6 separate regions of the Mus musculus genome follow, and all the other regions are reported to be linked to region 1. Evidence: microRNA targets listed by miRTarBase, many of them from high-throughput screens and not tested one by one. Region 1 holds a microRNA gene; each other region holds the end of a gene's coding sequence.
Evidence for each region. Region 1 holds the annotated microRNA mmu-miR-3082-5p (GACAGAGUGUGUGUGUCUGUGU, at 3,428-3,449, shown strand). A microRNA usually pairs through its seed, bases 2 to 8, with sites in the 3' UTR of a target mRNA and lowers its output. Matches are read on the target gene's strand: a 7mer-m8 pairs with bases 2 to 8, a 7mer-A1 pairs with bases 2 to 7 and ends in A, and an 8mer does both.

Region 1 (5,073 bases):
GCTTTTCGCCATCTTCTGGAACGTCTTTGCCTATGACCTGCTGGGTGCCGATATCCCCCCTCCACCTTGACCTGCTCCCTAGGGCCATGTGGCTAGAGCCAGGCACCAGGTGGGCCTGCATGTCTGCCCTATATGAATGGACCTCTCGGCTGCTTTTCCCCACAGGGGCAGGGGGGCCCTGTGATCCCCCACCCCCAGCTGAAGCCAAGTCTTACTGCAGCCCTTGCTGCACCCCCCCCCCCCAGGCTTTCCAGGGGGAGGGGTGTTACTGGGCCAGGGCTGGGTGGAGGACCTTGAGCGTGGCCCTAGAGGAGACCCCTTCCCTCCCCACTGACCCCAGGACTTGCAGTCTGAGCCTTTTTGGAGAATGAATAAATATTTTACACAGCACCAGGTAGCTGTCCTGGGGCTCTGCAGGCTTGTCTGCCCCCTCACCCAAGCTGTATGAGACACCTCCCCTCCAGGACGGTCTGTGCTCCCTCTCTCCCTTCAAGCTCTGCACCTGACTTGAGGTGGTAGCTTTACTCCTGGCCATGGCCGGAATCCACAGGAGGTGGGGCCCCTGGGAAGAAACTGTGGACTTCCAGGTCAGTCCAAGTTCAGCAATCGTTTATTGTGCTACAAGAGCTTCCAATCTCCTGTTCTTTCAGCCTCCCTTCCAAACGCAAGCCCACAACAGAGCTAGGTTCACTTGGCCTGGGTCCTGTAATTCTTGGCAGGTCCTTGTGGGAGGCCCAGTCAGGGTGAAGGTCAGGCAGCAGGTCTGGGCATACATCTGCCCCCCAAGTTTGCACAAGACGAAGAGTCTACAACTCTAAGACACTCACTAGTGAGGTCCACAAGGGTTCTGGGGTCAAGTTACTAACCACCAGAACCATGATGGGGCCCTGGATGACCTCTCAGGCCCCGCTCAGCCCCGCTCAGAAAGGCAGTGAACTCTTGCACCTGGGCTAGAAACAGCAAGTAGTGCTTGAGTGTGTACTGGAGGGTTAGCAAGCTAGGAACTGTAGCCACCGCCTCTTCGTATATGAAAGCTGCAACCCCAGAAACCTCTGCCTCCAGGACCACTGCAAAGAGTGACAAGGAGGTTCTGGGGATAGCTTTTTTTGAGCTCCTAGAGCCCCCACCCAACTTGGGCAAAGATGCTACCTACTCACTCGAGGCAGTGGCAGAAACCACGCAGCGAAGTTTGACTGCGGCGCCCAGATCAGCAGAAAGCCGAGTTCTGCTTCTCCAAGTCCGGGGTTGGGGGTGTTAGCGGCCAACAGCTGATGCAGCAGCGGCTAGAAATGCCTCAACGACAGACCATGGGGTCAAAGGGTCTTGGTGCAGGCGCTCTCCAAGGAAACCAGCCGGCTCCGCCCTTGAAGAAGCTCCTCCCCATGACCGCGAGAAGGGCAAGAGTCCAGCCGTGCACCCGCAGCTACTTCTATAGCAACCGCAGAAGGTCCTTCGGTGTCAGCGTGTCACGTGCTTGTTTCTCAGCCATTAATGGCCGCAGGCAGCTCCTCCCGATTCCCGAGGAAGCCCCTCGAGAGCGGTCTGATCTGCGGGCCTCTCTTCTACCCTCAATTCCGCCTTCCTACCGGCGGTCCAGACGTTCCCAGGCTGTCGCGTGAGCCCGTGTGTGCCCTGGTGGTGCGCTAGGACCCGGGCCTAGTGACCGGCCCTCGGAAGGCCACTTCTCAATGACCGCTGCCACGTTCGCCCAGCTTGGGGCCGGAGGGCGGGGCTTGAGCGCCGATGGGCGGAGCCTTGGTCTGAGCAGGGTAGGTCTCGGTTACTGTAGGGCGGGGCCTGTAGAGCGCGGCGGAAGCTTCTCAGAGCTAAGGGAACTGGCTCAATCCACGAGGCTCCGCCTTTGCTCACGTGTCCCCATGCCAGCTCCGCCCCACACCGGAAGTTCCGGTGGCGGATCGCCGACCGGGCGGAGCTGATCGCTGCGCGGGCTGCGAGATCTAGGTGGCCGGGCGCGGAGCCCAAGCCGTGCCGCGCGGCGCCATGAAGGGCAAGGAGGAAAAGGAGGGCGGCGCGCGGCTGGGCACTGGTGGCGGCGGCAGCCCTGATAAGAGCCCGAGTGCGCAAGAGCTCAAGGAGCAGGGAAACCGGCTCTTCGTGGGCCGCAAGTACCCGGAGGCGGCGGCCTGCTACGGCCGCGCCATCGTGAGTGCGGGAGGGGCGGGGGCGGGGCCCGATGTGCCTCCCAGTTTTGTGATCCCGGACAGGGTTTCTGGCAGCCTGGACTCGATGGCTCGCTCGCTCCCCTGGTGCCCGGATTGCTGTTCCCGAGTCTAGGGCTGATTTGACTGGGAACTGGCGGGCGGGATGCTTGATTAAGTAAGACTAAGGATGACACCAGGAGCTCTTGCCCCTTGAGATTTCCAAGCCCAGAGCTTGTAGAGGGGTTGTGGGATTTCTCTCAAAAGCAGTTGGAGGCAAGAAAGCATGGCCAGAATCCAGAGCTCTTGATAATTCGGAAATCTCCAGTTCCTCTATTCCAGCCATGGGCCCCCAAAGCTGGAGCATTGACCAGATCATTGGCTTTCAGCTTGCTAAATGAGAGGGGATCAACTGAGCCCACACTCTTTGACGCCTGGTCTTGGTCCCCAGACTCGGAACCCACTTGTGGCAGTGTACTACACTAACCGGGCCCTGTGCTATCTGAAGATGCAGCAGCCTGAACAGGCACTTGCTGACTGCCGGCGAGCCCTGGAGCTGGACGGGCAGTCTGTGAAGGCGCACTTCTTCCTGGGGCAGTGCCAGCTGGAGATGGAGAGTTATGATGAGGCCATTGCCAATCTGCAGCGAGGTGGGCTGACAAGATGCAAGGTTGAGGGCACCTTGGGGGACCAGGATTGTTGACAAGTGTAACCAAAAGTGTCCACTCCCCTAGCCTATAGTTTGGCCAAGGAGCAGCGACTCAACTTTGGGGATGATATTCCTAGTGCCCTTCGCATTGCTAAGAAGAAGCGCTGGAACAGTATCGAGGAACGGCGCATCCACCAGGAGAGTGAGCTGCATTCATATCTCACCAGGCTCATTGCTGCTGAGCGAGAGAGGTGGGTCCCTCCCCCAGCAGACACTGAGTCACCAGCACAAGTGTTTTTATTGAAGGACAACAACCGGTACATGGGAAGCCCAGGAGGAAAGAGGCCTGAGATGGGGCGGGCTCTGTGATTTCCTGGTCAGGGCCATCACCAACTAGCTTCTGGTTAACCCTCAGGGAACTGGAGGAGTGTCAGCGGAACCACGAGGGTCATGAAGATGATGGCCACATCCGGGCCCAGCAGGCCTGCATTGAGGCCAAGCACGTGAGGGTGCCCCTAGTCCACATGTGGGTCATTGTGTGTGTGTTTGTGTGTGGCATGAAAAGTGCCCCAGCCTTTGGTGGATCTGTTGGCCCATGCATGACATGAGTGCCCTGGTGGACAGAGTGTGTGTGTCTGTGTGGAGACAGGAGTTGCCCACACATGGCACTCAACTCTGCAGGATAAATACATGGCAGATATGGATGAGCTCTTCTCTCAGGTGGACGAGAAAAGAAAGGTGAGGACCCCCGGAAGCTCATCGGCTGCTGCTGGTATGGTGACCCCCACAGCCCCCTCCAGTTCTAGACATTTTCCCCTTGTGCTATAGAAGCGAGATATCCCTGACTACTTGTGTGGCAAGATTAGCTTTGAGCTGATGCGGGAACCCTGCATTACACCCAGTGGTATCACCTATGACCGCAAGGACATTGAGGAGCACCTGCAGGTAAGGAGGGCCCATGGAGACCGGGCCATGGAGAGCCTTGGTACCCGGATCGGTATACTCAGGCCATTGAACACTCTTGACTCTGTTGCAGCGTGTGGGCCACTTTGACCCTGTGACCCGGAGCCCTCTGACCCAGGAACAGCTCATCCCCAACTTGGCCATGAAGGAAGTCATTGACGCTTTCATCTCTGAGAACGGCTGGGTAGAGGACTATTGAGGCCCCATGTCCTGCCTGGCACCCTGGCCCAGGAGGATCTGGAGACGGAAGCTCCAGTCCCTGTATAGTTTGTGTCCCTGGGCCTGCCCCCATCGGCCCTGCTGATGGGTTCTGAACTGCTCCCCTTCTCAGCATACCCCTTGCTGGACCATGAGCCTCCCTTGTCCCCCTTCTGGGCTGGAGAGTGGGTGAGGGTGGGCTGAGGTTGCTGCTGCTGCCACTGTCCTGTAATAAAGTCTGTGAGCACTACATTGGCATGTGCTGGTGCAGTGGGCTTGCCAGTTGCCTGTCTGGCTAGCCAAGGAAGGTAGAAATGAAGACACTGGTGTCCAGATTGAGTGTGGCATGCCACCACCGATCAGGAAAATACAGTACCTGGGAGAAAAGAAAAAAAAAATTTTGATTCATGGCTTTTTGAGTTAGCCCAACCCCCACCTACCAGCTACTGACTTCACCAGCCTGGATGGTACATTCTAGAGGCCGTGCTGACAGGGCTAGAGATGGGTATATTTCCAGCAGCCAGGCCAATGTGGTCTTGTTAGGGTGGAACTCAGGTGTCTTCTCAGGAGGGTAGAGGAACCAGCGCTGGAGGCAGGAGTGTAAGGTCACTATGTGTGCAATGGACTATAGACACCAGATTTACACACACACATAACACACACATAACACTGTACTGACCTTCCGACCATAGATAACCTCTGAGAAACCAGGCCCATGCCAGTGGAAGGGTACCCCAGATCCAGCTCCTGTGGGGTCAGTTATGAATAGCTGATGAACAAAATATATATGGGCTCCCCCAAGTTTGTTTTGAAGTAGCCCCTACCTGCAATTCCAAAGCTGTAAGCAGGGGTGGTTCCCAGGAGACGGAATGGTGGCGGAGAGTAGTGCTGGAAGAGGGATGCCCACTCAGTGAAGTTGTTGTCTCCAAAAAAGTACAGGGTGTCTGCCAGCAGAGAGGGTGATAGGCAGGAGTACTGGCAACAGTGGGCTCCCAAGTACCCCACTCCCACCGCTGCCTGGGTCTGGCTCACCATTGCCTAGGGATGCAGGATCCTGGGGCTGCAGCAGCTGTTCCACATATTCCTGGAAGGGCAGGTCCACTA
Region 2 (5,073 bases), not on the chromosome of region 1:
AAGGGTCTCTCACTAAAACTGAAGCTACGTTGGTACCCCAGAACGCCCCAGTCGTTCTCTTGCCCGTTCCGACAGTTCTAGGGTTACAGGTGCATGTAACTTTAAATTCTTACAAGGATGCTAGGAACCAACGTGGGCCCCAGTGATTGTACAGCAAGTCCTCTCACCCACTGAATTCTCTCTCCAGCACCTGGCTCTTTCTAATAGCATCTAACTTTATAGCCCAGAGCTTGAACTCAAGTTCCTCTTGCTTCAGCTTCTCAGTTGCTGGATTACACACCTATCTCTAACCAATCCTTCTTTTTTTTTTTTTTTTGGTTTTTTCGAGACAGGGTTTCTCTGTATAGCCCTGGCTGTCCTGGAACTCACTTTGTAGACCAGGCTGGCCTCCAACTCAGAAATCCGCCTGCCTCTGCTTCCCGAGTGCTAGGATTAAAGGCATGCGACACCACGCCCGGCTAACCAATCATTCTTAATGACATCCCTTTGCTTACAAATGTTGTATATATAGTCCTTTTGGGTTTAATGCTGTAGGTATTTCTACACTTCAAGCTCATTTAAAAAATAACTGGGGACAGTGGTACATGTCTGAAGTTGTACTACTCTGGAGTCTGGGATAGGAGGATTGTGAGTTCAAGACTACACTTGGCTACTTAGCAAAAACCAAAAGGGAACTGCATATTTCTTAACATTCAAACATTTGAGAGGATATATTCTATAGTACTAATATCTAGCAGTGATAAGTGGTTATGAAGGATTACAAAGACAGACATTGCACTGAACATACAGTATTCCATTGAATCCTCTTACTTTGCCTAGTGGTAACTTGCCTACTGTGCATGAGGCTCTCTGATCAAATTCAAGTATTGCAAATAAATAAAACTTAATCTCAATGTAACATATATCACTCACTGTTCAGAGACTACAGGCGACATGGTCTACTAATTGCTGTACAAACAGTGGAATTTTTGCCCTTGCTTTCCCTTTGGCTTTGTAAACTGTATCACTAATCTCATTTTCTTACGTTACTTCATTACTCATCTTCTGAAAAGCTACATCTTCTGAACATTACTTATCCTCAGTAGTAGAAAAGTATCTCTGCCTCAGTGAAGAGTCTTACCCACCTACCTTTTCTCCTGTAGGCATCAGTGTGGAATTTTTAGAGTCTTTAGCTAGCCAGGTCAGTGAGAAACTCTGTCTCAAAAAAACAAACCAAAACACCAAAGTATGGTTCCTGAGGAACAGCACTCAAAGTTGATTTTTTGTGCACCCATACAAGTGCCCATCCATCCATTATGCTGGGCATGGTGACACTTGCCTTTAATCACAGCACTAGGAAGGGAGAGACATGGAATCTCTGTGAGCTCAAAACCAGTCCAGACATTAGTGAGTTTCAGAATGTTGAGAGCTACATAAAGACACCCTGCCTCAAAAACAAGTAAACTCAAACACAAATACCCATAATGAGTACCACATCTAAACCGCTTTAAACCTCAGTACACTTCATTTCACTTCACTGTCTCTGCCTTCTGAGCACTGGGATTAAAGGTGTACACCACCGGCGTCTGGCTAGGATCTCATCATTTCACCTGTTTATAATAAAATACACACAAAAAGGTTTGGATTTTCATTTCATTTGGAAAAAAACTATCTAGAAATAAAATATTTTAATAATGTACAAGTTTCATTATGTATGTTTCTCCAAGTATTGCAAATATAAGAAATCCAAGTTAGGGCTGGGCACGTAGCTCAGTTGGCAGAGTGCTAGCCTAGATGCATGGATCCTTGGGCTCAGGCCTCAGCACTGAACTAGGCATGGTGGAACAGGCCAGCAATCTCCACGCTGAGGCGGTAGAAGCAGGAAAAGCAGACGTTCAAGATCATCCATGGCTACACATGGAGTGTGAAGCCAGTCCAGGATACACGAAAGCTTGTCTCCAAAACAAAACCAACCAAAAAAGAAGACACATAACACAAGCTACCTAAGTTTTTTAAAATCCAAGGCCTTTAATTCAAGCTTTGGGTAATGACCATAAATGCCTCCACAAACCCTCTTTTCCACTGTAAAGAGAAGGCACTAGGCATTACAGAACACCCTAAGCACTGATTCCTTCTAATGCTGGTGGAGATAACACATTAAACAAACCGCAGGGTTTGAATACTAAACTCCTTAAAAACAATGAAAGAGCCTAGCGGTGGTAGCACACGCCTTTAATCCCAGCACTCGGGAGGCAGAGGCAGGTGGATTTCTGAGTTGGAGGCCAGCCTGGTCTACAGAGTGAGTTGCAGGACAGCCAGGGCTACACAGAGAAACCCTGTCTCGAAAAAAAAAAAAAACAAAAAACAAAAACAATGAAAGAGACAATTCTGAAATTCTAAAACTGACATAAAAATTTAAGTTAACCATTCAGTCTTCCTTGGGTTTCCAATGCATAATTTGAAATTAAGAGATAAAGTAGGTGAATATGATTTGGTTTTCACCATGTGTTGAGTTTCTGTTATATGTGGTAAACATAAAGACAGCATTATCATGCTAATTGATATTTCATGTTTTTCTTTAGGTGTGCAAAATAAACTTCAAATGATATATCCTGTAGAAGTATATTTCAAAAATCCTTGATATAATACTAATGACTTTCATATTCATGTCACAAACTGTATATAAATTGTGAAATTATTAAAATACATTTTTTTGAAAAATAATAAGATGACCATTTCTACCTAAATAAAGTTTCCCAGAAAGTTATGAAGTACTTTAGCATATAAAAGTAGTTGCCCCTTTTCTGAAAGGTCAGTATTGTTTCACAAAATAAATTTTCAATCAATCAATCCAGACAAATGATTTCATTCAAATGCCATATTCTTCCTAGGACAGTGGTATGCTTCAAGAGACTGTATCCATGAGTAAGGAAGGGGCACCCTAGATATGAGACCACAGTCACACACACAGAGAAACCTTCTTGGATCAGGAATGCCCTTGAAAATAACAGCAAAAGAATAAGAGATGGCTTCTGAAGCCACCGTGTGGCTGCTCAGAAGGGCAGGTACTTAAGTCACAGCTATTTACACATGTGCTGCTTTGTGTGTGCCTATCTGAACAGTGGCTTCTGCAACACTCCCATCTGAAACCAAACTATCTCATTCTACTTTTGGCAAGGTAGTACAAACAAAATGAAAACAAACAAACAAAAGTGTAATGCTGATTTACACAAAAGGTCCCATGTCAAACAACAACAGGAAAAGTCTTCTAAAAATCATCCACTAGGGGAAATAGTGTCACCCAACAAATAACGTTAAAAGGTAAATGTAAAACTCTCAAATAATTATTACATGAATGGCTTATCTTTGACATAAAAATATTCTTTTAAAAAACAACTATGATGTTCATTGTGAGAATGTCTTCAAAAGACATTCAAGCTACCTAGTGTATGCAGGCCAGTGAGTAAAAGAGAGAGGAGAAATCAGCTCTTCCATAGCCAGAACTGCATGTGCCTCCTTCCTCGGAGACACACCTAAGTTGTGAAAATGGTAGAGAGTTGTGACATGAAAACCTACATGATAATTTAAAACAACAGGCAATAAACATGAGGGGCAACAAGAAATACTTTTGGGCAAGTGATTACTTGACATAATGCCTTTGAAATTATGTATCATAATTAAAAAAGAAAAAGCCTTACAATTAGCAGCTGGACCCTGTGAAACATATAGGACAATGGAAGGCACTACATAAGCCTCAGTTATATCTAACTATAGTTGGAAAGTTCAGTTTTTCCTTCTTAAGAAGACAGCCAGTGTGAACATTATTCTTCTATTCCCCTGAGTTCAACATGATTGGGCAAAGCAGCACCAATTTAAAAAAATATCTGCAATGCCGGCACTGCAGTTTGGAGTCACTTACACTGATGGCCCCATAGGTCTCTCATAAGAGCACTTTAGAACGTGATTAAAAATATGGAAATGTCTTTCGGTATTTCAGCATTGTGGAACCACCACAGAACGCACTACAAATGTCTGTGTGTCCGCTCAGCCTTTCCAGCTGTATCTAGCAATTGCTGCTTATTTCCGTGCTGTGCCCCTGAGCTTGCTCAGTGTGCGTCTAGATGAATGTCAGTATGCTTCCTGCTTCACAGTCCTTTCTGGCTGGAAAACCTGACAAGTGTTATGTCATGCCGGTCTTGAGCAGTATGCCTTGCAGGTCGTCTGGTAAGGCCAGGATAATTGCATCTATATGTGTCCGTAACTTCTCCACAGTGTCAGGCTTCACAGGTAAGCTCTCTCGGCCAGCCTGCAACTACATAAGGAACGGTTTTAGTGAATCTGTGTGAATATATTGTCTTTGCTACATAAACACCTTTTTTTAGAATGATCACTTGGAAGTTTAGGTCTCAGCCTAGAATTTACAGAAACTAAAATTGTAGAGAACATCAAGTGGGGGAGGGGTGTAAAGAGACCTTAATAAAGGCCATTCTATACACTCATAGATGAGGCCAAAGGATAGTGTGTGCCATAAAATCTAGGTAAGACAATGGTTTCAGAGAGTTCAGGAGATTCTGTTTTAAATCTCTTTGAGGGGCTAGAGAGTTCAGCAGTTAAGGGCACTGGCTACACTTGTGGAAAACCTGGGTTCAGGTCCTAGTGTATACATGGCTTCACCCTGCCAATGGAGGGGGTGCCATTTTCTGGCTTCTGCAGACACTGCATGCATATGGTGCACTTACTAAGAGCAGGCCATACATTTATACTCATAAAATAATTTTTAAAATTGTTTAAATGTCTTTCAAATAATTTAGAATCATTTGATCTATTTGAATGAGCAAAATTTCTAGTGAGATCTACCATCAACTGGCCAATCTCAAATGTTCTCATTTAAAAAACGACTTCTGTAGTACACAACAGAGTAAGAGTCAGCTCAGATGAGAAAATATTTTCCCAGAAAGGTCCATTTTCTATCCTCATCTCTTTAGTTACATACCAACTTATTTTTCAGCTTCAACACAAGGTCCACTGTTTCTACTTCTGTGTGTTTCTGGATCCAGAGAAGGAGGTCCTACAACAGTAAGAAAATTCTCAGTT
Region 3 (5,073 bases), not on the chromosome of region 1:
CGAACTCAGAAATCCGCCTGCCTCTGCCTCCCAAGTGCTGGGATTAAAGGCTCTGTAAGAATCTTAATTAGTATGCAATGGCTTTCCAAAGGGCAAAGAATAAAGTACAAAAGCCTGGAGGTGGTGGTAAATTCCTTTAATTCAGTACCCTGGAGGCAGCGGGGGTGGGGGTGGGGTGGTGGTGTGTGTGTGAGATCCAAGTTCAAGGCCCAGGATGGCCAGGGCTACACAGAGAAACCCTGTCTCCAGAAACCAAAACAAAAGACTAAAGCACGCATGGTGTGATGCACTGGTTGTACCTTTATTATTTTTACCTCGTTCACTAGCAGTTCTGTGATGCAAGGTTACCATACACAGTTAGATAATGTCTGCATTACACATCTAGGGCTATACAGCAAAAGAATCAGGATTAGTACAAATACAAGAACTGTATTTACATTTTGTATACTCAAGCTCCAAACATTAGATATTTACAAAATAAAACATGAAAATGAAATCCAAAATTAATAATGTACATTGTTGCTTGTGCTCAACTCCTTCCCTGGGGAGAGATCAGTTTGCAAAGTCTTGGTTCAAAAAGGCCACTTATGCTTCATGGATTCTGTTATAGCATGGGGATGGTGACAGGAGACGCCACTCTCAACAGACAAGTATGTCAGAGCCACAAAGTCTACGACAATGCTTAAACATGAGGAGGCTGGTGGGTCCCTTCGGTGAATTGATGTCAGAATACACAGCATGAAAAGAATCAGTTAAGGACATGACAACATAGAACATCCAGGGTTTGGCACAAGACCAACCTCTGCCTGGACTTTGTCTGAGCAGCTATCTACCGTGAGGCTTTCTGTCTGATCTCAGAACCGGGACTGAACCAATGGCATCACATATAGTTGCCAAGTGCCCTACCACTAACCAACACCCCTAACCTCTGGCTGTGAGTTTTTAACACCGGTTCTGTATCAACTCTTAATTTCTTTCTTAAATTTCTTTTTTAAGTAATTAGGGGCTCTCTTAAATTTTTTTTTTTAAAGAGCTCAAATATCTACTTCATAAATGGCCTTTTGAACAGTAACAGCAATAATCTCTCGGCTGACGATCTCTGACTTGCTCCACGGTCGTGGTCTTACTCACTCTTGGTGGATCACAGGCAGTACACAGTGCCAGAGGTCACTCAAAAGCATTCAGCAGACCTTCCAAGAGCAGCAACACAATCATTCTTTTCTTCTCACAGAGCAAGTTAAAGATTACATTTTCCAAAAGGAACCCAAATGAAAAGTGATGGACCCACGCTAAACAAACCACACCCCCCTGGTATTGTTCAGGAAAGTCAAAGCACAGCAACCTAGAGTCCCAGCAGGAGCCACACAGGGCAGAGCCTTCCCCTTTCAGTCCAATGTGCAATTCATTACAGTTGTATAAATATACAAATACCTTACAAAATTAAATATCCCTGTAAATTAGACAAGAAGCAGCAGGTAACAAAGTCTATGCTTTGAAATATGTGCCAGGAAAAATCATGTTTTAGACCCCAAACACCTTTCACAACCATTCATTCCTTCATCTAAACAAGATAAAAAAAAAAAAAACCTGAAAAATTGATAGATATACAAATTCCACATAGCTGAAGAGAAAAAAAAATAATGGTTTCTTAGCTGAAGAACCTTCAGCTCTCACCTCATCAAGTTTCTCATTTATGGACTGGAGATCAGGGCCTGCTCAGAAGCAGTCTGGCCTGTGCTCCCACCTCGCCTTGTGCAGGGACTGCCTGGTCCCTGACAGTCTGGGACTGAGAGCTGACTGACTCCCAGGGTCGTCTCCCAGAAGCAGGCGAGGCCTGAGCACTGGCGGGGGACAGTTATGAGGCTATATCTGCTTGGGAGGAAGGAGGATAAAGACATAAAGGAAGGGGGAGACTAATTCATTTTAACCAGCACTCACTTTTCTGTAATTTGTATGTTTTCCTTGTAGGTTTTTTGTTTGTTTGTTTGTTTGTTTGTTTAAAGGAGTGCTTTGAAAATTTAAAAAAAAATCTTAAAAATACTTATTTTAAAGATTAGTTCTCTTAACTTTCCTGCTACTATGGCAATCACAAAAATCTCATGAACAGGTCCTGCCATAAAACCCTTTCTCTTTCAGAGCTTCGGAGCAGGTGACCTTGTCTGGAAACAGAATATAAAGCCCCCAAATGCTCCGATTCTGACCTGATCCTGGGCTTTACAGTAGGAGGGGTCCCAGTGACAGCAGGGAGAGGCACAGGTGCCCAAGCTCCAACCTTACTTTCCCTGGCTTTCTAATGAGGTCTCCTTAAGGGGCCTCTGATGAAGGCGGGGTCCAGTTTGGCTCATGCTAACATTTGATATTTGCAAAGCAAAGACTTTCTAAACCAGTTTTGTTTGAGTTAAAAGAAAACAAGTTATCTCAGGGTTTAGTGTGCCGCACACTGCCACCCTCCCCCAGGCGTCACACCTCTCGGCACAGACATGGATCCTTCTGCCTACCTTCCTAACAGCAGCAACATCAGTGATTCAGTTTAAAAGCGACCTTTGATCTTCGTTTCCCTGAAATTAGATTTAGTTCCGGTCCAGGAAACTGTCTACAGGCATAGACAGAGTCTGCTGAATTTGAGTATACACCAGAAGGACATGCTGTGTCCATTAGACAACAGAGACTTCTAACTACATTAAAAATCTCATAGATATGTTTAGAAAACAAGTAACATTACAGTTAGTAACCTATACTTTAAGGAGAGAAAGAAAGTTTTAAAAATCCACCAGAGCTGAGCATCTTTTAGATAAGAACAGTCTGATTTCTGCCTTTTCCTTTCTTTTCTTTTGCTTTCTTTCCTTTCCTTTCCTTTTCTCCATGGTCCACTTTTCCTTTCTTTGCAAGGCAACTGTAACAAAGGAAGCTGGGAGTCCTGTTCTTCAGAGAGAAGCAAGGGGCTGCATGCTCGCCTCCCTAGTGGCTGCTCTGCAGTGGAGATGGGCTCTCCACCAGAAGGAAATCCATTCCTTCTCTACCCTCAGGTAGCCAGGAGCCTTCGCAGACTGGAGGTGAGCAGATGCCTTCCTGTGTGCGTGAGTGATGCTGAAACAGGCTGGCAAGGCCAGGAAACAGCAGTGTGAATGCTCCCCAAGTCACTGGCACAGCAACTCAAGTAGCCCCAGCGGGCATTCTGTGCCCCACTCAGTCCCCGACACTTACTGGCCGGTGGAGGAAGAGCGTTATTTTCTATAACCTCTTAAACCCGGAGGCCTGGTTTGTTAGAAGCCACAGAAACTGGTAGCAGGGAAATTCTTCCTAAGGGAGTATTTCCAAACCAGATGAGGACAGTGGGGGAAGGGGGCATGTCACAGAGGAGGCATTTCACAATCCAGTAGCAAACTGCTGGGAGACAATCTTTTTCGACTCTAAATGCCTTCTGATTTGTTTGGAGTGGTGGTAAGGACTGGTCAGTTCTGGCATCCAGAAAACAATGCCATGTTTGTTCATATGGAGACGAGAACTACTGGAAATGGCCACTGGATTTAGATGGAGACCTCAAGATTTATGCTGAAGCTACAAGTCTTTGATCAAAGGGAGCGACAACAATCACAAGCTGCACTCAGCACTCTCAAAGCAACAATGGTCCATATCACCAGAAAGTCAAACACTCCCCAGTCCCTCTTGTGGGAAATCTGTTCATGACATCACCTAATTCCAAACAGTGACACTGAGACTAGAGTTGGGAAACTCCTAGACAAACGCTCCTTCCCAGGGAGGAGACAAGCCTGCTGGACCCTGCTGTAAGGAGCTACAGTCACCCTTGTGACCCACTGCCCAATCTACTGCAGCAGCCCGAGTCTTAAAGGGCTAGCAGCAGCCTCTGTTGCAGGCCAATCACAAGGCCCCTCTGCATCTTCCACTCTATACATCCATGCTCCGAGCCCTGATTTAGACAGAGAATTTAAATCCCATTTCTGAGCTTCCCACAGTGCTTTCCCTGAATGGAAACACATGGATTAGCCACCAAAGAGAAAGAGAAAGAGAGACAGAGACAGACAGACACACACACACACACATACAGAGAAAGAGAGAGAGTCAGAGACAGACACAGAGAGAGACAGACAGACACCAGACACACACACAAATAGACAGAGACAGACACTGAGAGAAAAAGAGACAGAGAGAGAGAGAGAGAGAGAAGAGAGAGAGAGAGGAAGAGAGAGAGAGAGAGAGAAACAAGTTAACAAGTTTTCTTCTCCTGGCTGACAATACCAAATGTCTCCTCCCTTAGTCTCTAAACCACCCAGAAAAAAGAAGATTATCATAAACAAAGGGGAAAGAAAAAGAGAGACAGAGAAGTTACCCTGAAAACCAGAGCTACGGAGACAACAGTCGGACAGTGACCGTGAAGGGGACCTAACATCCAAAGGAAGCTGAAGCACACAGGAGAATCATTTGGAGATGTGCTGGGTCCCCTCGGGTGTGGGTGAGTGTGAGTGTGAGTGTGTATGGACGTGTAGTGGTTTTGTTCCCCTTGTTAGGCCACATGCTACAAGTCTTAGCACAAGAATAAGAAGAGTCAGAGCCATGGAGAGGGAACAGAGAGCTAGAGAAGTGCAGGGTGAGGAGGGAAAAGTCGTTAAGCCACAGGATTACATACAAGAATAACTGTCAAGAATCACAAAGAGAATGAGAGGTAACACTTTCTTTATCTGTCGAAGGTGAGCAAGGCTCAGGAGAACGCTCAGTACTTTGGCTGGCTCGGGCATCTGCGAGAGAGTTTTGACCTATGAGAAAAACAGGAGGCAGCGTTAGAAGAGTGGATGCTGGTCTCTCCCAGCCGATTCTGCAGGCCAGGCTTCTACGCTCCTAAACAAATGGCTGGACCAGCAGTTCTCAACTCGAGACCCCTTTGGGGGTTGAATACCCTTTTCACAGGGGTCGCAGAGCAGATAGCCTGCAGAGCACATATGGACATTATGACTCCTAACAGTAGCCCAGGGACAGCTATGAGGTCTTTCCTACGCTGGGGACTCTGTGAGATGCGCTCCTCTCACACAGCCTGAACTATGGGAGTCCATTAAAGCA
Region 4 (5,073 bases), not on the chromosome of region 1:
GGCTATCTTTCCATATGCTATCTTCTCTTCTTGAGGCCCCAGTTAGAGCACATGTGTAGCACTCAGGAAACAAAAAAAAAAAAAAAAAAAAAGGATGTTCAGGAGTTCAAAGCCAGCCTTGTCTGCATAGCTAGAAAGTGGAAAGATGCTATAGGAAAAGCAAAAACAAAGGATAGAACCAGACTAAAATAAACTAGGCCCCATACAACCCAGTTACCAAAACTCCCTTGCTGACTACAGTCCCCATCTAAGGAGCTGGGTGAGGACTCAGCACAGAGTGTGTTAGCCATGTGGAGGTTCAGGATTGGCCCAGCCACTGGGCTAGTTTAAAACATAAAGGGTGTGTGTGTGTCTTTTCATTCATGAATCTAGTGTTCTTGGGCAATGCAGAGGCATGCACACATCTGCCAGAAACATAGAGCAGACTTTAACAATTTTACCCACATCCTTCTGTTACTCCTGGGAACTGTTAACAGTGAAGGCAGTGGCTTGAAATAAAAACCCCATTCTCTTACATTTCTGTAATCAGAAGGCTGGGTCTTACTAGACAGAAACTAAGAGGTCATCCCTCAGCATGGTAATGCATGCCTTTAACTCTCTAGCACTTGGGAAGCTGGAGTAAGAGGATCACAAGCTTGAGGCCAACCTGGGCTACACAGTTGAGTTCCTGTCTTAAAAGAAACAAAAACAACAAAAGAAACCGCAGAGGTCCACAGTCTGCAGAGATGCCAGGGGACAATTGTCTTCTGTTTACTCTGGCCACCATTCCTCAAACTTGTAGATCCTCATACTCCAGCTGCCTGCCTCTGCTGTGTGCCACCTCTGTGGGGTGAAGGTGTTGTGTGGCTCTCAGTACAGCATCCAGATATTAACACAGGCTAAACCCTCTCTTCTCATCTCTTGGGCCCCTTTCTCAGGGCATATGGGGTTCTACTGGATCACCTGATTAGCCCAGAATAAACTCACCACTTCAAGGACTTAGCCTTCACTCTGCCCATGTGTCCATATGCCACTGATAGCATGTGGCAGTCATCAATTCTATGAATAAACCAGACATTCCTTCAAACTAGTCTTCCTCCCATAGAGCATCAAGCCTCTCTCGTAGGCTTTTCCAAAGCAGACAAGAAACCAGATTACAACAGGCAAGCCCAAAAGGCAACCATAAGCCTGCCAGGGTCCATGACAGCCTACCAGAAAGGGCACAGAAAACAAGCAGCAGGAAAGTGGGGGGAAAGGTGCACACGACTCAGTACCTAGAAAAGCCTGACACATAGGAACTGAGCATTCTGATTTAGGATTAGCCAGAGGCAGAAGAGTGGCTGGCAAGGGTGGACAGGGTGTGTCGCAAGTGAGATTTGACTCAAGGACACAACTCGTGTTTTCTTTCTAGCCTGACTACACAAGCACAACCTTATTTCGAGGAAACTGCTCATCAACTAACCAGGGGGAAGACTGGTGTGGACGATCAAAATCCTGCTAAAACAGATGGAGGGGAGGCAGCTGTTGGCAGTGGGCGAGTGTACACTGGGAACAGGTCTGCAGTACAGTGAGCAAGGACAAGAAGCAAGCAAACAGGAGAGCTGGGGATGTGATTGCTGGGGTGTTTGCTGGCCATGCATCAAGTCCTGCGGTCAATCCCTAGGACCACAGAGCGCTGGCAAGTAAGAGACATTGACGCAGCTCTAGCATCAGATGGAGGCAGGGAGGACCAGACTCGGGATTATCCTCTGGGGCAGAGCAAGCCTGAGGCCAGCCTGTAAGATAAAGAAGTAAAAGAAGGGACGGCCTGAGTTTCCTCTCTGGGACCCACAGAGCAGAAGAGCCAGCTCCTCCATCATCTCCAGGTTGCCCCAGCGTGTACATGTGCTCTGGCACACAGTCACTTTCTTTGACCTGTTTTTGAGAAAAACAAGAGTTGAAGCTGCTTGTGTCTATGGCACCAGGGACACAGCAGCCATTGTGAAGCATGAGAAGGGGTCTGAACCTGGGGTGGGGGACAGAAATTGTGAGAACAGGCTCACTTTAGACTCTCAGCATCAGGACTTTAATACTGATTTTTTTTTTTTATTATTACACAAATGCTTTGTGGAGTGAAACAGCACTCTCAGAAGGTGCCCAGGACAGATACCTTCTGATGAACTGTGTTCCAATTTCCAGTAAAAATGTTTAAAGGAAGCAAGCTGTGCAGCTTCTACTAGAAACTTTCCTATGCAACTTAAGCACTTTGTTGAAAACCCACTGATGGTGTGTGGTGATGGTTCCTGACACTCCAGACTCCAAGACTAAAGACTACCAGATCTTTAAAGACTATCAAAGAGTGCCAAGGCACTCTTTCCTCCCAAACCAAACCAAAACCGCACAGGTCACTCCCCTTTAACTTCAGGAAACAATGAAACCATTCTGTAATGGTTTGAACACACCCCCTGAGTCCTGCCACTAACCTTCCACCTACTACCTCTGGCCAGTGTTGCAAATCACAGGACTACAAGTGATGTATTCATGATGACTGTTCACCATCAAACGTAACCAGCTGAGCACTAACATGTACCTAGGGGTCAGAGACTGAAACTTTGATGTTATAAAACATTAATTAAAAACAGATACAATTACCAGAAAAGAGTTAACTGTATTTTAAACAATGTGGGCAAAATATAATTATTTACTTTTTGAGACAGGATCTCACCCATGTAGCCCTGGATAGCCCAGGGTCTGCCATGTAGAACACTGTATCTCAGCATTCGACTGTTGGCACTCCAGATGTGCACCATTTTTGAAACCACCACCTTTCTGATTTACTTCATAACCAGCATTTGTTTGTCACCTTGCCCTCCCAGCCAACCTCGGGTGGAACAGCTGTGTAAGCTGTGGTTCTGGACAGCTCCTCAAGTTGCATTTCTTGGCAGCTTACAGAAGATGCTAATTGAAAGGTTAATCAAGGGCTGGAAGAGCGCTGACTGCTCTTCCAGAGGTCCTGAGTTCAATTCCCAGCAACCACATGGTGGCTCATTACCATCTGTAATGGAATTGGAATTGGATGCCCTCTTCTGGAGTGTCTGAAGACAGCAACAGAGTACTCATACACATAAATAAAAAAAAAAATCAAGCTGGGCGTGGTGGCCCACGCCTTTAATCCCAGCACTTGAGAGGCAGAGGCAGGTGGATTTCTGAGTTCGAGGCCAGCCTGGTCTACAAAGTGAGTTCCAGGACAGCCAGAGCTACACAGAGAAACCCTGTCTCGAAAAACCAGAAAAAAAAAAAAATCAGTCATATCTCTCTTAAAGAAACATCCTGTCTCCTGCACAGGTAACAGATGTGTGACATTCCACAGAGAAGGCTATTGAATCTACATCCACTTTGTTCTAGGATCAAGGACACAGGATGGCATGTGGCATGCTGGCAAATCCGACTGTCCCCACGTACAGAGCTCTTCTTCTGCTCACCCCAATTTCCACATTTGGAAGTATTTCATAGTGACAACTTCAACCAGATAAAGGCCAGCTCTGTAGGAAGTCTCTCAGGTTGCTTAGACAGCCTCTCCAAAGCAGCCTGTGAAGACACACCTGCCACAAGGAATGTCCAACAGAAGGATGTTTCTGCAGATAGTAACAGTCCTATGCAAAGTCACCAGAGATCAGGGCTAGCCAGGAAACATGTAGGCAAAAGACACCGGGCCTTCCCGTAGAACAGAGCACTGTCCCCACCATGCTTTGGAGTACAACATCAGTACAGTAGGGTAGGCTCTGCCCAGGCTGGGAACAGGCTCACAGTTTGCATTTAGTGGCTGTCCAGGCTTCCAGTCCACCTGTCTGGAGCCCCCTTGCCATATCAGTAAGAGGTGACTATTTATGAAATACTATCAAAACTTATTTCTCCAGGAGAAAAGTTACTTCAAAAATACTCTGCTGTGAAATTTATCAAAATGCTATCCAGCTTGTTGAAAATCATTTATGTTATGCAAAGAATATGAAATTTTAAATAATCACCCAATTCTAAGTTCAAAAGTACATTTATTTAACTGTGAGCAAGTTATCAATATAAAAGAAAAGTGTAAGAAATAAAAATAATCAAAGTACAAAACATTTCATATCTTTAACAGCCATAATTTAGACAGCAAAGTCTTATTTACATCATTTTTATTTGTAGATGAAATTTCACACAGCTTTCTGAAAACACATTAAAAACCTGGCAAATTAATCAGAAGACTTAATGTGGGCTCTTAGGCATATAATACAAAACATAATTTATGTTTCCTAGAATAAGATCACACATCTTAACACGATGCAGTCAGTATTACATCTGTCTTCCTGGTCGAGGTCTCTCCCTAAGGCAGAGCTGGAAAACAAGCCCTCTGCGGGGAGGGAGTCCTGGTTCATGCTGCCAGCAGCTACCCTTGTGCTCCAGGCTCCAGGCTAGCAGCAGCAAGAGGCCATCAGTTAAATTTATATGTGGCCTCATTGAGGAAAATGGTTTTCACACACAAGGTAGCAGGGCCACATTAGGCCAGAGTCCCCCCATGTAGTTCTAGAGACCACCTCCTTCTGTATTCAAGCTATCTTGTCCTGTTGCAAACTCCAACACCCATGGCATAGGCTCTCTATCTGCCACATGGGTGGCTGAGTGGAGGCACCCTGCTTAGGTCATAGCTAAAGCCTAATCCAAGCACATTACATTCCTGGTTTCCTGTCCCCAAAGCCACCACAAAAACATGTCCTTAAGAGAGCTGTCACCCTAAGTGTCTTATGTGGGCAACATTGAGAGCAGCAGTGATCTTCAAAATTCTTAAAACTGCAAACCATTAAATACCTCATGTTGTGGTGAGCCTCAACCACCAAATTATTTTCATTGCTACTTTATAACTGTAATTTTTACTAGTGTTATGAATTGTAATGTAAATATCTGATATGCAATTCCTGTGAAAGGTTCATTTGACCCTAAAGGAGTTGACACCCACAGGTTGAGAACCACTGGGCAATAGGCATGGGCAGGTCTTCAGTTGACCAATGTAACCTGAGAAGCAGCTCTACCATGTTCTCAAGTGCAAGCAGTGTTAAGAAGAAGTCTGGAGAAGCCTGG
Region 5 (5,073 bases), not on the chromosome of region 1:
ATACAGGCCTTTTACAGGCTTGCCACAAAAGCATTGGGACAGTCTAAGTCAAGTGCAGACACCAAGCCTGGTATCGATACCAGAGGTGTTTGCTACTAGGTTCCTACCCTGAAGTCAGCTCCCCCCCCCCCCAATCAGCTGGCTCATTGGTGTCAAAACCAAGCCGTGAGGTAGGCTAGTTTCCAGAGCTAAGAATGCTGTTCCCGGGCCAGCATTACGGCTCAGCAAGAAAGATGCTTTCATGGTAAAGGCACGCGGCCTGGGGCCTGGAGACCTGGGTCAATCCCCAGGACCCACACGTTGAAAACAGAGAACTGACTTCTACATATTGTCCTCTGACCTCCACATGTGTGCTAAGGCACATACACATACCCTCAACATACATAAATACATGTTTTGTTTTTTAAAAAAGAACGCTCATCTGCGTCCATCACCAGAGGGGCTGTGGAAGACAGGCCTTCACAAAAGCTTTAGCTCCGTTCCGCTCTTGTCTCCTTTCAGATCATTGCAGCCCAGGAGGAAATGCTGAAGAAAGAACGAGAGCTGGAGGAAGCCAGGAAGAAGCTGGCCCAGATCCGCCAGCAGCAGTACAAATTCCTCCCCACAGAGCTGAGGGAAGATGAGGGCTAAGACACCCCCCATGCTGGTGAGCCCCAGGAGGTGGTTCCTACTCCCCCAACAAGAACTGGACATACTGGTGTCCCCCAGAGCCAGGAACTTCCTGGAAACTGCTGGCCCTCCACCGGAGTCTGTCTCTCTCAGTCCTCAGTCCCGTCACTATCAGCTGCATGATCATGGTCTCACACGGTACAGTGTCCCACCCACAGCTCTTCCAGCTCCCCTCACGCCTCGCTATATCTCAGGACAGAGGGCGCATTTCATGGACTGTTACCAAAAAAGAAAAGTCAGTATTACGTTGTTCTCAGACACCTGTACTCCGTGTCCTCTAAGACTGCTCCAGGGCCTCTTTGTGAAATCACACTCGGGAAAGAACAATGCTAATAACGGCTCACAGGAATCATCAGTATCATGGACATAGAGATTCTCTCTCTGGAGAGAAGACAGCTGGAGTTGGACACTGTTAATAAAGCCAGAAACACTCCCAAGTGAACTCTGGAGTCACAGAGGTCTGTGTAAGTGTGGGGCACTGACTCACCCACGGGGGAGAAGATCCCCTACCCGTTTGCACGCTTTTCTCGCCTCAGTGTGTAAGCTCCTTGTACAACTACACCCATCTTGTATTCTGTGGCCCAGAAAAATGGAAGTTATTTTTTTTTCCCCCTTCCATAATCCAAAGGGCAGAGTTGTGGAAAGTGGTCAGGGTTAGGTGGGTAGGGGCCGGAATAAAATACTGGGCTCCTCACTCAGCAAAGCTGTTTCAGTTTATGCAGACACACACATGGAGACTATGTCCCTGATGGATCTCAGTGCAGCGCCCCCTGGAGGAAGAGTCAGGTAGCATTTAGGAAGGAGGTTCCCATGTTCGAGCCCTATTATCAGTTTCTGTGCACTTGAGAGGGTCCAAGTTCAAGAAGGAAAGTTATTTGTTTAGAACTTTGACCTTTGATCTCAAGGGGGCATTTCCCACCATTTATCTTAATAATCCTAAAATCTAAATGTCCCCTCTGGTCATTGTGAACCTGTGTGACAGCATTGCTTGTTGTCACAGAAGTGTTTTCACAGTACATCATCTGGGTGCTGCCCTTTCAACCTCCCGATGCCTTCCCCTCGTGCCTTTCCTCTCAGGGCCCTCTTCTGGAGAGAACATCAGAGATCCCTGACTTTACATTTGAGTTGAGCCCCTGCCTAAGATGAGGGATGAGGGAGGGCCTGATACCAAGTACCAGCATGTTAATGAACTCGTGAAGAGTTAGCAGGGGCTTGCTTAGACTGTAGCTCAGTTGGTAGAGTGTTTGCCTGGTTAGCATGCACAAAGCCCTGGGTCCCATCACATAAACTCGATGTGGTGCCACAAGCCTGTAATCCCAGCACCAGGGAGATAGAGGCAGGTGGATCAGAAGTTCAAGGTTATCTTTGGCTACATAGTAAGTCAGAGACCAGCCTTGGCTACATAGTAAATTATAGAGAAAAGCCTTGGCTACATGAGACCCTGCCTCCAAAAGAGGAGAGAGAAGGAAAAAAGGCATATGGTCTTCAAGGCTAATGGCTGCTGAGGGCAGACTTTCTCCCCCTTAATGATATGATACCAGTACCACATTGTATGTTGGGCTCACCACTTCCATCCAGATTTCTACCAAAGAAGAAACACTGGTACTCTGGTCCTCCGAAAGGAAAGAGAGAATCAACCCTCGACCTTGCCAGATGAGGCTCCTCGAGCAGACTCTCCTGTGCCACAGCTCTAAAACATAATGAAATCCTGACACCTTCCCAGATGTGTAGAGACTTACACATGCTGCACAAAGGAATCCCTTTCACACAGGTAGAAGGATCTAAGTACGGTGTGAATGAAAAGCAAATGCAGGGCACACATGGAAGGACTGAGGCTGAGCAGGGCTGCTGGAGAGCCTCCATGCTGGGAGCCCTTGATGCTCATGGGAAAGCAAACCGCCTCGCTCACCCTTGTTGAGTGTAACTCTTTTTGTTTGTTTTGTTTTTCCCAGACAGGGTTTCTCTGTATAGCCCTGGCTGTCCTGGAACTCACTCTGTAGACCAGGCTGGCCTCGAACTCAGAAATCTGCCTGCCTCTGCCTCCCAAGCGCTGGGATTAAAGGTGTGCGCCACTTCACGCCTTTGCTGGGTACTATGCAAAACTATTAAGCCAAACCCCAAAGTTCATGATCAAGACGGTGATCTCACACAGTAGGACAAGAGGCTCTCCTGCAGCTGGCTCACCCTCTTCCTGTAGGATATGCTTCCAGGCAGCTAGCCCCTCACCCCTCCTCCTACCTGTCCCCTGCCACATTGGACATTCCAGGGGCAGGACAGATACCAAGTGTCTGTCCCTACCCCAGGGTGGTTTAAAACTTTCACAGAAGTGGACACAGGAGAAGACCTCTAACAAATGAAGGCAAGGGGCCATGAGGGGAGTTTCAGGACAGTGGGACAGTGTCCTCCTGTCTGGGGTGATGTGCACTAGGAACTTGGGAAGAGGTCGTTCTCAGGTCTCTCCTCCATGGTCGTGGGCCTACTTCGCACCTGTCCCTTGCTAGCCCATGCTGTGTCCATGTATGTGAATGTCCTCGTGGCTGGCTGATCTCTCCTCATTTCATAAACCAGCGGAAATGCTGGGCTACAGGCATTACTTAATGCTGCTGCTTGTGTCCCCAGAGGCACTGAGGGGTCTTCTGGCTCCTAAGGGAGAAAGAATGCAGATGTAGTGAATTGCAGTTTGGAGTAGTTTCAAGGCCCATGGCCCAAGGCCTGGAACATGGAATTCATCTGTGAGGGGGACTGGGAATGCAGCAGAGTGCACTCCTACCTCTGGTCCCGTGAGGGAGGCCAACATTGGGTGTTGAATCCTTACACTGATCTTCCTGTCCTGTGTTTCCCTGTTTGATGGTTAAAAGTAGGATGTGCCTGATGGCTGGGAAATTGCATTTGGTTTACTTCTGCCTTTCAGAGGTCTTTTGGTTTTCAGGATGCAAAAGCCATGTTTGGTCAGACAGCCCTGGGTAGCCCTTCCACTGGCCAGTTTGGGAGGTGGTCTTGAAGGTCATCATAAGCTGATACTTAGGACCTAGGCAGTCCTCCAGTTGGCGTTGGTGATTTCCAGAGGCAGCTGCCCTGGCTTCAGTTTGTGCACGGGCTTTCAGGGCTAAGCCACCACAGATCTGCTGGCGCACACTCTTCGTCCAGAAAACCCTCTAAGCCTCTTAGCACACACATCTGCTTGTTGTCTGAGTTCTCTTCCGGCTGGTGAGAGTAGGGACAGCTGAAACCAAGTGTTAAAAACCGTGTAACGAGGTGTGACGGCGAACATTTAGAATCCCAGCACTGGGGAGGTGGAGGCAGGAGAATTGCCAAGTCTAAGGTCAGCCTGGGCTGGGTAACAAGATCCTGTCTCAGAAAACCAACAGCTAATGGAAGTAACTTAGTGTTAAAATGTTTGCCTCGTAAGTGCTAGGCCCTGGGTTGGTTCCCAGCAACACACAGACTTTAACCAAAATGTCCCACCACCTAAAAGCATGTATTTATCCCCACCTCCTAAGCGGCCCCAGAACCAGAACCTGATGAAGGAATTAGGGTGGAGGTGGTAAGAGGTGCCACTGCACTTCCTCTTGTCTCTCTGGCAGGTGGTCCCCCAAATCTCCCCGAGCTTTGCAGTCCAGGGCTAAGGTAGAGCCTCTGGGAGCTAAAGCTTAAGATCTCAGCACTGATTGTATGCTCTGCTCAGACACCTAGAAGAAACGAACTCGGTGACCGCGCACACAGACAGACACATCTGAGTTACTGAGCAAGTTGCAAGGAACTGGAAGAAAATAGTTGCTTACAGGCTGAGAGGCAACAGTGCTCAGAGTCCTAAAAGCCAAAGAAAGGTCTTAGGGGCTATGCTGGTGGCCCAGATCTCACCTCACCCCAGAGTCCCTCCCACTGAGTCGGCAGCCTCCGCTAGGAAAGACATCCTCCACAAATCGCCTGACGTCACTGCTCCATCAGGGTGAGCTTGCACTTGATGTATTAAGTTGTGGTCATTTGGAATGAGCACGAGGAGGGAACTTCCAGTAGTCTCACAATACTATGAAGAAGGGCTGACACTTTTCTGTGAAACAGGCTAGGTTTTATCTGGTCTCCCTGGAACCCAGCTCACTGCCCACCAGGAGGCAATAGCATGCGAGCCCCTCTGCAGCCACATCTGTCAGGAGACAAGAAAGGGAAGCTCTGCCCTTGTCATAATGTTTAATCACATAAATTAATTTATCTAATCACATAAATTATTTTTTTTATTCATCAGAAATAAACTTTTAAAGGAATGAACTTGTGTGAAGGTTTCATGGCAATGGCGGGGGGTGGGAGTGGGGGTGAGGTGCAAAAAAGACAGAAGAGGGCATCTTGCTTATGGAGGAGAAATTCTGCCCTGAGCCAAACATCTATCTCCACAATAACCAAGGATGT
Region 6 (5,073 bases), not on the chromosome of region 1:
TTTGAAATAAAAGTATATTTATTAAAGAACACACAACGCATGTACATGTGTGTTTATATATACATGGATGTAGCGTACACATCTGTGCGTGCGTGATTTTTTTGTTTGGCGGCTTTGTTTAAATATTTGTAGGCAAAGTGCTTCCCTCAGACAGATGCGCGGCGTCCTTACAGATGTTTGTTGGATGAGTTGACTGGTTGTGACTCAGAGTCTCTGAAGTTCAGAAGCTCTCTCCCCCTCCTCAGAGACAGTGTCTTACGATTGTAGTAGTTCTGGCTGAGAGAGAATTTGCTATGTAGACCAAACTGGCCTCCAACTCAGAGATCCTTCTGCCCCTCCTGGGATTAAATGTGTGGCTGGCACGCTGATGACAAAGCCTTTCTTCTCTTAACAAATGAGTGAGGATTTTTTTGCCTTTCTTTTGTCCTTACCTTCTTTACCTAACCCAAGTGTAAAGCCCTGTGCTTTTCTCAGTGATGGGTGCGTCTGTCTGTCTGTCTGCCTGCCTGCTTATTCAGTTGTGAGCTGATACCCAAGGCATGTGGCTGTGCTGATACAGGGGAGGTTCAGCCATCTTACAGGTTTAGCTCCCTTACAGGTTTCAGCAGCTGAGTTCTACCGGCTCAGCCAGCCATGGGCTTAATTCACTCATCTAATCCAAATGTGTTTTGCCATCCTAGGTTTACCGACAAGACTGCGAGACTTTCGGGATGGTGGTGAAAATGCTGATTGAAAAAGATCCCTCATTAGAAAAGTCTGTCCAGTTTGCACTGAGGCAGAACTTACACGAGATAGGTGAGCGCTGCGTGGAAGAGCTCAAGCGTTTCATTACTGAGTATGACAACTCTGCTCAGGACTTTGGAGACCCCTTTTAGAAGAAGAAGTACCCAGGTCAAAAGGTTTTCTTAGATTGTTTTTTTCTCCTTGGATTGTGTAAATCCTTACTATTTTGTGATGAAGAGAAATACTTTATGATAGCTAAGCACATTTCTAGTACTAAATAAACATCTACAATAGCTTAAAGTATCTTAATTAGAATGTTTCCCCTATGTGTAGAATATTCTACTCTATCTTCATACATTTCCTCCCTCCAAAAATAATATTCAGTTACTTTAATGTTCAAAAGAAAAAAGCAGCTCTGGAGAGCAGCTCCCTGTATTTAACCCATGTTTCATAGTCTTCCATGACGTCTATGGTCATCTTTTTGCATACCGTGTAAAGGTTGTCTTTTTTATTTTGTTTTGTGTTTTTTGTCTTTTTGTTCTTTTTTTTCGAGACAGGGTTTCTCTGTGTATCCCTGGCTGTCCTGGAACCCACTCTGTAGACCAGGCTGGCCTCTAACTCAGAAATCCGCCTGCCTCTGCCTCCCAAGTGCTGGGATTAAAGGCGTGCGCCACCACTGCTGTATTCAGATGTTGATTTCCAGCTGAATACTCTTTGGTATTGTTATTTGAATTGCTAAGCACCTTCATTGTAGTTTGTAAACTCTCCTCTCCACCACCTTCTGATTGGTAAACACTGAGGGCCTGTAGGTCAGGAAAGGAAAGGCAGGGCAGGGCAGGGCATCACAAAAGGAAGTCTGACTTTCAGGGACTGAAAGATAACGGGCCATGTGGCAAACATGGACCAAAATAAATGGATTAGTTAAGCCATAGGAGCTAGTTGGGAAGAAGCCTAAGATATAAGGCCTTGGCATTCATAAATAATAAAAAGTCTCTGTGTTATTGTTGGGAGTCAGGGGTCGAAACAGTCTAACAGTAGTGATCATTTGGTCTCAGGAGTTTAATTTGTAGTTAAGATCATTCCAGATTGCATACAATTAGTGGTACCGTTAGCATTTTGAGTTGGTGATGTCAAAATATGCTGTCTTAATGAGTTAGAACTTTGCTATCATTCAATATTTGCTTTGAGAATAATTCTTATTCAATATACAAAAAAATGCACTTGAAAATCTGTAAGGATCTGTTAGAACAAAATCTTCTCCCAAGTCAGTAAACTTGGTTCATCTCTTCTATGAAGTGCTCTTAAGGCTTCTACCTGCTCTCTCTAGACAATATTATGGACTAACAGGAGAGGTAATCTGAGATGCAAGATGAATATTAAGTTGAGATGGTCTCAGAAACCCATCTCATGGGTATAATAAAAAAATTAGAATATACAGAGCACTTAAGTTATGTTTTAGGCCCACATTATATCAAAAACGGGACCTGACATGGCACTCATGCTTGGGATTAAGCTATAGATTACTCTGTCCATCTCCGTGATCTCAGTTCTGTGGGCGTAGAGGGGCTCACTGCTCACAAGTGTCCTCAGAACACACTGAGGCCAGCACAGCTGCCAGCAGGTCCTGAGTGAGCCACTGAATCAGTGAAGAGACACTTAGGATCTCTTGCTCACTTCCTGGTCCCTGGTTCACTGAGGCAAAATACTAAATTTGTGACATTAGGCACCTTAAAAAAAATCACTGCCCAATCAAATTATCTACCTTTTTTTGGGGGGGGGCGAGGGGGGTCAGGGTCTTACAGTATAGTCCTAGCTAGCCTGAAAATCTCTGTGTAGACTAGGATAGCCTTAAACTCACAGACATCTCCCCACCCCTACCTCTTACATGCTGGCGTTAAGCCCACGGGCCACCCTGCTCAGCATCCTTTTGTTTGTTTTCATTTTCATTTTTTTTCTGTCCTTATTACTTTTTGATTCGAGACAGGGTTTTGCTGTGTGTCCTAGGCTGGCTTCAAACTTAACTGCTCTGGCCTTTAGCTTTCGGGATTCCTGCCTCAGCTTTCCTGAGCCCCAATGCTTGCCGTGACCATTGAGTGGCCTCTATGATCCTGTCTGCGGATATCCCTAAACCACATACAGATTATACTTAAGTAGAAATAGAAGAATGGTTAATTTTAATGAGCCCTAAAATAGATGTGTGAAGATTTGTATTATGCCATTTTGAAAATTTAAAACTAATTGACGACATGTTTTTTGTTTTGTTTGTTTTCTTAAATTCCCCAAGTGAGAACACTTGTACGTTTTGGCATTGAGTCTTTCCATCCCTTTTCTGCGCACACTCCCCTTCTGAGCGTGTGCTGCGCAATGCCGGTCACTTCAGTAATACCACAAGCGATTTTCCTTCTTCCCTTCCACTAATTCTCAGCTCTTTAAATCAAGTTATTAACAAGCATACGTATAAAATTTGAGGAGCTTCCAAGGCAAAAAAAAAAAATGTTCACTTGGTAGAAACATTCATTTAAAAAGAGAATCTTACTGATAAATTATTTAAGTGAAGGCCCAGCCAGTCATCCTCTTCCTTCCACTCACACTGGGCCTTCGAAGCTGTGTCCAGCTTGCCGTCCGCGCTGTTCTGCCAGGCTCCACAGTGTTAAATGTTTCCTTCATCTTTGTTTTTTTTTAAATGCCTTTTGACATCTAAAATTCATGTGTACTAGAGTATGTTTTATAAAATGTTTTTGATTCTACGGAGACATGTTTGTAAGTTATCCATTGTTTTTCAATAGACCTGATTCATATGATAAGTTCTCATTGCCTCACCATAAGGCCTTGATGATCAATATGGGGAAAGCAGATACTGTAAATGCAAAATAAAGCATCCGATACTAAGTAATAAATTCGTCTCCTCTCGTTTTTCCTGGTTCCTGTGACTGAAGTGTAAGCGTTTTCATCTGTGCCTGCACGATGACTCTAGCAGTCAGCTCACCACTCGACAGCCAGGTAGAAGTCGGAGGATCGAGGCGCTGTTAACTTGGACGGTTTCTGGAATTTTGATGTTACAGAAGCCAGTCCTCATAGTGCCTGGCCCAGTGACACTAAGTAATTACAGAGCTGAACTTACGAGGCTGAATGTCTTCTTCCTGAGCTGTCATCACTCCTGCACAGCAGTAACCGGGCTCTCTGTACCAGTCTGGTTCACAGCTTGGCATGCTATAGGTATTGGTGCTTGTCAGCCTAAAGCTGACTTCACCTTCAAGTGAAACTTGAGAAATAGGATTCATTCAGACTGAGAGGTGTGAGGAGCTCAGAAGGAAAGGTTGGTATGTCCCTTTGTGGCCAAAGTCAGTTTTCACTGCTGTGATAGGATTTCTCTTTTTAATCTTGATTTTAGGCATGTGGGCCCTCAGCTACTGGGCTCCACCATTTTTGGATCTGTGGTAAAGCGTGCCTTCATGGTGGGGAACTTGTAGCAGAGCAGAATTGCTCCATATATAGCATAGAGCCCGGGGGAGGGGGGGGGGTGAAGTAGACACCTGTGGGCCTCTTCCTTCTCCTCTGGATACCACACCCAGGGAGTGTCTTCCCCCTTGATGTCACCTTTTGAGAAAGAGCTTCAGACATCCAGAAGTGTGCCTTTCTAATAATCATCTCGGTGCTTCTCAGTCCAGTAAAGTTGATGGTAATAATCGGGATGTTCCGTGCAATGGAAAGTGTGAAGGAAACAGGACCGGAGGGCTCAAGCTGAAGACCCAGAATTCGGAGCTCTGCCTGTGTGCTCACACTCACAGGGAAGGGACGGAAGGGGACAGTCTCTCAGTGTTGGGGAGACCTTGAAACCCAAATCTCCGAATAAAGTGTTTGATGTCCCCCAACCAAGAACAGAAAAGGTCTTTCAAGAAAACCTACCCTTCTTGCCCTTTTTCCTGCTTTGCTTGTCTACATTTGGGTATACATTATCTCCAGAGATCGCTTGTCATCTCACAGGTGTCTGTGCAGCAGACCTCCTTCATGTGGATTAGCTTGCATTAATAATACAGAGTCAGTTTCCTTATGTTTTCCTGTGTACATAGGTTAATCTCATCCATCTCCCATTACTCCCTGTGGTCCTATTTCTCCTGATCCTCTTTTTTTTTTTTTTTAAAGATTTATATATTTATTTTATGTATATGAGTACACTGTAGCTGTACAGATTGTGAGCCTTCATGTGGTTGTTGGAAATTGAATTTAGGACCTCTATTTGCTCCAGTCAGCCCTGCTTGCTCTGGTCAACCCTGCTCGCTCGGTCCCTGCTTGCTGCAGCTCAAAGATTGATTTATTATTATAAGTACACTGTTGCTGGCTTCAGACACA

Region 2: miRTarBase lists Dennd6a as a target of mmu-miR-3082-5p. Seed matches in the 3' UTR shown: 8mer at 2,273-2,280.
Region 3: the mRNA of Kif1b is a reported target of mmu-miR-3082-5p. Seed matches in the 3' UTR shown: 7mer-A1 at 4,062-4,068 and 7mer-m8 at 2,606-2,612.
Region 4: miRTarBase lists Paxip1 as a target of mmu-miR-3082-5p. Seed matches in the 3' UTR shown: 7mer-A1 at 3,418-3,424 and 7mer-m8 at 3,066-3,072.
Region 5: the mRNA of Tln2 is a reported target of mmu-miR-3082-5p. Seed matches in the 3' UTR shown: 7mer-A1 at 2,631-2,637 and 8mer at 2,661-2,668.
Region 6: the mRNA of Pphln1 is a reported target of mmu-miR-3082-5p. Seed matches in the 3' UTR shown: 8mer at 1,316-1,323 and 7mer-m8 at 2,246-2,252.

What each region holds. Positions count from the first base shown.
Region 1 is chr17:25,829,782-25,834,854 of GRCm38, reverse strand. It overlaps Mir3082 (microRNA 3082), which reads left to right and starts at 3,427; the gene lies at 3,427-3,490. Jmjd8 (jumonji domain containing 8) reads right to left here. Exons shown (of 9, transcript NM_028101.5): 5 at 5,002-5,070; 6 at 4,794-4,913; 7 at 4,649-4,716; 8 at 4,421-4,555; 9 at 3,012-4,345. The coding sequence ends at 4,265. Stub1 (STIP1 homology and U-Box containing protein 1) reads left to right here and starts at 1,936. Exons shown (of 7, transcript NM_019719.4): 1 at 1,936-2,163; 2 at 2,611-2,809; 3 at 2,894-3,059; 4 at 3,224-3,311; 5 at 3,490-3,546; 6 at 3,637-3,753; 7 at 3,845-4,221. The coding sequence starts at 2,002. The coding sequence ends at 3,970. Rhbdl1 (rhomboid like 1) reads left to right here. Exons shown (of 8, transcript NM_144816.1): 8 at 1-390. The coding sequence ends at 70.
Region 2 is chr14:26,628,646-26,633,718 of GRCm38, reverse strand. Dennd6a (DENN/MADD domain containing 6A) reads right to left here. Exons shown (of 20, transcript NM_001134465.2): 19 at 4,973-5,047; 20 at 1-4,291. The coding sequence ends at 4,160. Among named protein-coding and RNA genes, the nearest start is that of Arf4, 7.0 kb to the left of the region's middle.
Region 3 is chr4:149,176,039-149,181,111 of GRCm38, forward strand. It overlaps Kif1b (kinesin family member 1B), which reads right to left. Exons shown (of 49, transcript NM_001290995.1): 49 at 281-4,772. The coding sequence ends at 4,730. Among named protein-coding and RNA genes, the nearest start is that of Pgd, 12 kb to the left of the region's middle.
Region 4 is chr5:27,738,059-27,743,131 of GRCm38, forward strand. It overlaps Paxip1 (PAX interacting (with transcription-activation domain) protein 1), which reads right to left. Exons shown (of 21, transcript NM_018878.3): 21 at 2,022-4,445. The coding sequence ends at 4,430. Among named protein-coding and RNA genes, the nearest start is that of Paxip1, 51 kb to the right of the region's middle.
Region 5 is chr9:67,216,947-67,222,019 of GRCm38, reverse strand. Tln2 (talin 2) reads left to right here. Exons shown (of 58, transcript NM_001081242.2): 58 at 502-4,935. The coding sequence ends at 630. Among named protein-coding and RNA genes, the nearest start is that of Mir190a, 17 kb to the left of the region's middle.
Region 6 is chr15:93,488,294-93,493,366 of GRCm38, forward strand. It overlaps Pphln1 (periphilin 1), which reads left to right. Exons shown (of 9, transcript NM_175363.4): 9 at 681-3,620. The coding sequence ends at 875. Among named protein-coding and RNA genes, the nearest start is that of Pphln1, 92 kb to the left of the region's middle.